2 linked regions of the Tamandua tetradactyla genome follow. The protein of the gene in region 1 purifies or fractionates together with the protein of each later gene. This does not show direct contact. Links are inferred from orthologs where the notes say so. Each region holds a gene or a part of one and is shown on either strand. Other genes may lie near its edges. The genes, in order: EXOSC7 and MPHOSPH6.

Evidence for each region.
Region 2: the proteins of EXOSC7 (region 1) and MPHOSPH6 purify together in Homo sapiens (affinity purification with mass spectrometry; 4 studies listed by BioGRID and IntAct, counting the BioPlex papers as one, with this or other methods). This does not show direct contact. The link is inferred for Tamandua tetradactyla from reciprocal best matches to the Homo sapiens genes EXOSC7 and MPHOSPH6.

Annotation. Positions count from the first base shown.
Region 1 is NC_135341.1:41,897,012-41,900,925, reverse strand, and holds the start of EXOSC7 (exosome complex component RRP42), read left to right. Parts: upstream 1-825; 5' UTR 826-876; coding exon 877-933; intron 934-3,914. UniProt on the Homo sapiens protein: Non-catalytic component of the RNA exosome complex which has 3'->5' exoribonuclease activity and participates in a multitude of cellular RNA processing and degradation events.
Region 2 is NC_135342.1:76,860,062-76,863,975, reverse strand, and holds the start of MPHOSPH6 (M-phase phosphoprotein 6), read left to right. Parts: upstream 1-1,200; 5' UTR 1,201-1,248; coding exon 1,249-1,299; intron 1,300-2,129; exon of another isoform or gene 2,130-2,627; intron 2,628-3,914. Other genes in the region: uncharacterized protein LOC143659822, read right to left, coding at 865-1,200. UniProt on the Homo sapiens protein: RNA-binding protein that associates with the RNA exosome complex. Involved in the 3'-processing of the 7S pre-RNA to the mature 5.8S rRNA and play a role in recruiting the RNA exosome complex to pre-rRNA; this function may include C1D.

The sequences.
Region 1 (3,914 bases):
TAGCTATCAACTCCATCAATTTGAGGCTTTCAATCCCCACTGGGAAGTGCAGGGGGCATCCTGGCACTGCTTCCTTTGCCAGCGCGGGTTGCCTCCCCACTACTCTCTATGAGACAATGGTTTGGCGATCGCCCAGAGCAAGGGGACCCTGCAAAGTTCTAGGTTAGCATTCTGTCCCCGTGGGGGTGATGGTGAGATAGAGTGAGGATCTCTCAGGACTAATGTCTTCCACTATCAACCCTACCCACTGAGAACCATCTAAAGAAGGATTCATTGCCTCTTAACCATTCTAGGGGCCGGGGAAATGGAACTGAGGATGGGGAGAAAGGAAAGGACAGCAAGGAGACAGCCCCGGGCCAATTACGACGCCCAGCTTTCCAGACTAGGGGTCTGTCTCTCTCTCTCACACACACAACCTGCTACTTCAACTCCAGCTCTGGGCCAACCACGCCGTGCGCCTCTCCCACTGCGAGTCTCCTGGTCCCTGCCCGCGCCCTCGCCTCATCCCAGCTTCTTCACTCCAACCCCCGCCCCCTCCCAACTGACCGTGAAGCCGGTGGCAGTTTCCCAGTCCCAGGCCCCCGGGGGGTTCCGTCCGTCGCCGCCGTCGCCTCTCCCTGGAGTCCCACACCCGGGACTCTTTTACGGGCTGCGGCGATGGCTCCACGCCTCGAAGTGCCACAGCTCCCTGGACTCCGCCAGTTACCGGACAGCGCGCAGGTGAAGCCCATCGAGCTCCCGGCAGCTACGGCGGCGGCAGCAGCGGCTGCAGGAGGGGCCGCCGCGCAGGTTGATGACGCAAAAGCGCGGGGAGGGTGCGATCCGCGCGGAGTTGGCGCGGGCTGGTGACGTATCTCGCGCAGTGCAGTCGGCAGCATGGCGTTCGTGTCGTTGAGTGAGGCAGAGAAGGTGTATGTTGTGCATGGCGTCCAGGTATCTGCAGTAGTGGCGTCGGGGGACGGCCGCCAGGTTCCGTTGGCCTACCCGGAAGGAGATTAACTCAGCTGCCGCGGGTTTGGCTTACCTTGTCATTAAGTGGCTCTGCGGCCGGTCTTTGCAACCTAGAGCCTGCAACGTAGGCTTTTTTAGGACTGGTGATCCGTTTAGGACTGTTTGCGTTCTTGCCGGTTTTCAGGTCTACATGGTTCTGAGCCCAGGTGGGAACCGGTGGGCGCTCCCGGAGACTTGCTTTTAGTGAAGGAGCACTACTCCCGGGACCATCTCTTTGGCCTTCGCATGTCACTTTCCGTGACTGGGCCTTAGATTTCTCCTATAGGAAATGGATACGTGGGGGTGGGTGTTGTGGAGCACACTGAAAGAGAGACCGCATAATTCGAAACTGCAAGCGAATTTGGAGTCTTTATTAGCCAGCCAGCGACTGCCTCAGAAACTTCCAAGGAGGAAGATTGAGAGAGCAGCACCCGGGGGTTTTCAAGGTGTGCTTATAAAGGCTAAAATCTTGTTGTGGTTTTGCAGTTGCTAGCAGGCAGGCATATCACAGAAGCAGAAAAATGCCGTTAGCTGTTGCCAAAACATATCCTGTTCTCTCAGTTTCCTAACATTGGTTATTGTTAAACTCTTGGGGACATTCTGCCCCAATGTTGTGGGGACTTTCCCTGCTTGGGCCTGATTGATTGCTCCTGGCCCTCCACAGTGGGGGGTTCCTGGCCCACTTTTCCTCACCTAGTAGTTGGGAGGCACAGAGAGAGCGTGCACCCTAGGTGAATGCGCTTTGAAAATATAAGTGTCTTGCGAATAAAGGGGAGGAATATTTAGGTTTATAAAGCGGCTCTTTAAATCGATAGCATAATTGTTGCTGTTTCCCATTTTGCCAGTGGAGAGCTAAAATCCCTAGAAACAGTTAGAACCAGGCATCTTCTGTGTTCATTCATCAACACCTGCTTTTGACCACTCCAGAGGACTGGAGGACTTTGGACTTGGTAATGAGCCACCTCAGTTCCCACTTTGGCTGTTTCCCCATTTGTTATGTCACTGTGCAGCCCTCCCGTCCAAGTTCTTCATCCCACTCTTTGCAGAGTTCTGGTGTCAGCCCCTTCCCCTTCCCTTCCTGAGCCGAGGCCTGCTACTACAAAGTTAATGGTCCCGTGGTGTGGCCATCAGGTTAAGCGATCAGCTATGATCAGCTATCGTTAAAGGTCCACAACGGTGAATAAAGCTCATGATCTTTTTGAAATTGTGCCGTGCTGTTATCCTCGGTTGTTATAGATGAAGAAATGTCAACATTTGGCTTACAGGTTACATATTAAATCTGAATAATAGAGTCAACAGTTCCATGTGCTTTTAAGTTTATGCTTCAGATCAGAAATAGTGGGATATGTGTGTGTTATTTGTTTGGGGGCGGGATATATAAATCCTCACAGAGCTATTAAATTTATCCTTCTGTCTTAATTTTGTGCCATTCTTCATGTGATTTTTATTCTCAGAGATGCTTCTTGGGGAGGCATTAAGGATAACAATTTGCCTCTAAATGTAAAATCCTTTTTATTTCTTTCTTTGCTACCACAGTCATGAAATATTGATTTCACTGTGCAGTCCATTTTTTCTCACATTCCATTTCTGACAGTGGGACCAAGGGACATAGGTTCCTTGTCTGTTACCTCCCAAGGCTAGACAGATCATGTCCTAAGTTCCAATGGCAACTCATTAGCTATCCGGCAGTATATTAAGGACCCATTTTATTACACATCTATTATGTGCTCAGTGCTGTGAAGAAGTAAAAAAAAATACAAGCTATGTTTCTGGCCCTTGAGATGCTCAGGATCTAGTTTGGGCAAAATTAGTTGTTTATTTTTCATTATTGAATATCCAGCCTGTGGCATATTATGTGAGAAGCAGTAGGGGCACTAAAATATTTGTGAAATGCATAAATGAAAGATAGGTAAGACAGGAAAAATGAATAACGTATAGACAATGGCATATAAGGTATATGCCATAAGATACATACCGAGGGAGTGTAAGTCAAAAAAGGAACTGAAGATTACTGGAGGCTGTAGTGCTCTGGAAGACATCCTTAAGACAGAGGATTTGCTTCCCTAAATCCATGGCAGATATGTTTCTACAGCACTCAGTATTTATTCTTTCATTTAACACATAGCTTAACCTGACTTGGGAGATAGGAAGGAGCTTGCCCTTATATTGTTCACATGCTAGAAGTAAGATAAAGAAATTTCAAATCTAGTTGTGTGTTTATGTTTCATTAAAAATTGTATTGAGTGCTATGAAGGAAAAACCTGAGAACTCATCTAGTCTCTTCAGATTTCCCTGAAGAAATGGCTTTTGAGCTGAGCTTTCAGGGTGACTGCCAGTTAGGCAGTAGCATAAACATTCCAGGGGGTGGGATGGTGAGTCCCCAGTACCTCAGGTGGAGGAAGCATGGAGCCACAGGAATGAGCTGGGAGTAATGGTGGAAGATTGGCTTACAGAGTTGGGCAGAAACCACATCATAGGGTCATAGAGCCTCAGCCAGTCTCCCATCATGGGTCTTGATGTGTAATCATCTGTTGATTTGTTTGTATGATATCCCTAAGGCCTAGGGAGCCCTTCGACCAAACCCAACAAGAAGGCATCTAGGGAGTCTGGGTGATACATTTTGGAAGGGGTTAACCTACTAGTACACAGATTAGGGCAGAGAAAGACAAAATGGATCTGAGGAGGTGAGGGTAGGGCAAAAGGAAAGTTTGATAAATCACTATTTTGATATATGATTTGATTGCTTTCTCTTAAGGCCCCAATTAGCCTTTGAAGACCAGTATGCTCGCCCACTCTTTTTTAGGTGCATACCCACTCTTTTTTAGGTGCATATTGTATCATAGTTTTTATCATTGCATCTAAACAACTATTCTGAAGGTAAATATCATTAGCTGTATTTTATAAATGAGGAAGTGATCTCAGAG
Region 2 (3,914 bases), on another chromosome or scaffold:
AATTATCAGTAGACCCCCTGTCTAAATGGTTTACTTCCTTTTCTTGGCCATGGCAGCATCTCTTTGTGGGGTTATCTCTGTATGGGGGACACCTATTCTGTGTCTGTTACACTTTTGCTGTGGAACATGGATGCAATATCTGTGCTGTGGTCAACCTGGTTTGCTGAGTGGGAATGGATTGCGGAGACACAGGGCCCTGCCCCACCTCTTCCATATTGAGAATCAGTGACTACAGGGAGCAGCCTACAATGACCCAGACAGAAGTAAGAGGTCATTAAACCTCCCGGGGAGGTGGTGCAGGGGAGTATAGATGATATCATAAACAAAGGATTAAAACTCCCCTTCCTTGACCACTACTGATGATAAGACTCCAGACCCCTGTGTCACAACCCTGCCGAACTCTGGTCTCAAGCCCTATAGAATGTCTCTGTTTTAAACCCTTATAAGCTGACCCCTTGCACTCCAGGCCCCTTAGGGAGCACAGACTTTCACTTTCCAGACGGCCACCGTGTGGACAGATCTCCTGTTAGTAAATCCCAATAAACCCAAGCCTAACTCTCTGCCAAGGGTGGTCTCTGGTCTTTGGGTTGTGCTGGATTGGGACAGGACATCCTTCTTAGATAACAAAGAGATCACTTAAGCACAAAGACGCAGTTAATAGGTGAATGTAACATGGTTTTTCACCGATTTGTAGCTTGGTGGTTAAGAGTCCTGCTGAACCAGACTGCCTGGATTTACAGGCCCCCTCCTTCATTCTTAATTTGGGCTCATTAAGGAAGTGCCCTATATTTTACACAACTGCAACAAGGCGAGGATGAGAGAACCGCCACGCGGGGCTACTGTGAATACGAACTGAATTATTACGTAAGAAGCCGCGATCCAGATGAGAAGGCAGGTCTGGCAACAATCGCAAATGCTCACTGGAATGCCTGAAGCGGGGCCCCCGAGAGGCACACACTCCACGCGCGCCTGGGGGACCAGGGACGGGAAGCTGGCGGAGAAGGTGGCCATCAGCTCTCGGTCTACTCTGATCTGGGGTCTCTCTACGGGCGCTAAGTCCACTAGAACTCCGCGTCGGCAGCCCACAGCAGCCTCGTCAGCTCCCTCGGGCGCCAAGCCCAGCTGAGGCAGCGGGCCGGGGCCACGGGGCAGGCGATCTAGCGTCACGTATGACGCCACGACGCACGCAGCAGCACGCATGCGCGGCAGGGCTGAAGGCTGGAACGCGGCGCCGGATGGGAGGTTGGCATGGCGGCCGAGCAGAAGAGCAAGTTGTCCAAGAATCTGCTGCGCATGAAGGTGCGGTGGCACGGGCCGGGCTGGGCCGGGCGGGGCGGTGGGGCAGCCGGTCTTCCGGGCCAGGCTGGGGCCGAAGCGGCGGGCGCACAGGGGCACCAGAGAGGGCCCGGAGGGCCTCCAACTTTCGCGTTCATTCTTTCATTTTGAGCCGTCTCCGTATTAGGCATACCGGGTTATGAACTAGGAGCGGGGACACGTACACGAGTGGTTAGAATACAGCGTGCCGGGAGCACTCGTGGTGGAGCGCGGAGCTCTGGGACCTCACCTGGACTCAGCTTCAAAGAAAGCATCTCGCGGAAACTAGCCCTTAGGCTGAGGCTGAAGGATAAGTTGTGGCAGGGGCCATATGGGGAACATAGGAGCGTCAGCTGAGTGAAGGGCGTGTTACAGTCTAAAAAGCTGTTAAAAGAAAAAAAAAAAATAAAACAAGCATGGAGATTTTCAAGAACTGAAAACAATTTAGTATGACTGGAAAGAAAGTAGCAGGAAATGAGGTTGGAAAAGTAGACAGTGGTCACAGGGTGCAGGGCATTTGGGGCCAAACGAAGGATTGTTACCTTTATCTTAAGAGCAGCGAAAAGCTGTCGAGCACCAGGGTCAGTCATTTGCTGTGCATTGTACTTTTATTTACTTTAATGTTAGTTTTGACTCTTCAGTGGAGAATGCTTTGGTGGAAGGAAGGCCGTATCATGAACAAAATTGAAGTCAGTAAGCCAGTTAGAAGTTCTGATGATCCCAGTGAGGGTAGATGATGCCCTGAGTAAGGTGCGAATGGAGAGAACTATTATAGTTGAGGTGCAAGTGAATTGTTATCTCACCGAATTTTAAGAAAAATTGTTTTTGTATTTGAGATTGGAAGCAGTTTAACTCTATAGTTTCGAAGTGAAGAGGAGGTGAGGGGAGACAAGGGTAAATATAATGTATATAGGAATTAAGACAAGGAAAACAGCCAAATCGTAAAACAAAAACTTGTTCTGGGTATTTTGCATGTAGTAACCCATTTAATCCCTGTAATAACTCTGAGTTAACTATGGTTATTATCTTTTTTTTTCAGCTGAAGCAATTGAAACAGAAGTAGCTTGCCAAATACACAGGCTAAGAAGTAGTGCAGACAGGACTCTTAACACAGACAAATTTCGTTCTAGAACCCCACTTCATAATGACTACACTGCCTATTGGTGAACACTACTTATAGAGATATGCAAACTGTTAAATGTTTAGAGGGTCTGGTGGAATTTCTAGCAAAAGGAAAATAAGAAATAAGTAATGTTTAAAAGATCAGAGAGTAAGCATTGTGTGTACAAGATTCAAATGGAGCTGGAGTGAGGGTATGACTAGGGGAGGATGCAACTAGGGATGAATAGGGTGGGTGAGGGTAGAGGGTAAATTGTAGAATTATTTTGTTCTGATGTACTGCTTTCAGGCATATTAGCAAAATTTGAAATTTTAGTGAGTAGAATTTTCTTCTTGTTTAATGGTTTGTAATCATGTAGACTTCAGAGAAGTGACATGCATCCACAGCAGGGGATTGAAAAGATTTTAGCTGTTATTTTCCCTCTTGTAATAAGCCAAATGGATATGTGCTGAGTGATTTTAGGTTCCAGACAGAAAAGCTGATTCTGGAACTAGGAAGGAAGAAATTAACTTTAAAAAACAATTGCCAAAAAAAAAAAAATGCCCACCCTCACCCTAATGATTGGGGTTGGAGACTTAGCTGAATGTTGGAAGCAAATGTGAAACAAAAAAAGAAGAAGGAGAATGAATAAAATGTTCTCAGTTTGGGTTAGCAAGTTCAGTTTATGGTCCGAAGGAATTTACAGGATTAGCAGGAAGGAATTTACAGGATTAGCAGGAGACACTAAACACATGGGAGTGGAATGTCCTGTGAGAATGAATGGAGCAGCTATAGACTTAGGCTACTATATACAGTATAGTTCAGCCAGTGCCAAGTACAGAACAGGAATAAGAGAATTGAAGTTTTAATCCTTGTTTGAACAACAAACAGTGCTTGAAAACTCTAACTCTGTCAGCTATTGCGAGGTGAGGAGAGAGCCTGTTGGGAAGTTGAAAATGAAGGATGTTGTTGGAAGGTCTGTCAGTATGATGATTTGGTTGTAGAGAGGGCTTTTACTTTGTGATTTTAACTGTTTTGCCCTTAAGAATCTACAAACTTCATAGGGGTTGGCCCTTGAAGTACAGCTTGCAGGTTGTACTATCTTTCCTGCAACTACTCAGTTCTGCCATTGTACTGAGAACCATAAGCACATGGCTATATTCCAGTAATGCTTTATTTACAAAAACTGGTGGCTATAGTTTGTGACCCCTGCTGTAGGTCATCTCTAACTTTCAGAGTGTGTTCTCAGATGCTGTAGAGTAGGAAGAATTAAATTGTAACCAAAGTCTGGAGTTTCTTGATTTGTATTTAAGAGTGCTCTATCCTTTCCATATTTTTGAAAGAGAATGAGAAATCCTGTATATTATACCATAAAGAATGCCTACTGACTAAAAACAGAAGATAAAGTGGCAGTTGGCCAGGATTGGTGCATTTCACTGCCTGAAATAAGAGTGATGAAATAATGCTAAAGAAGCATCCAAGAAAAGGAGACTCGTAAAAT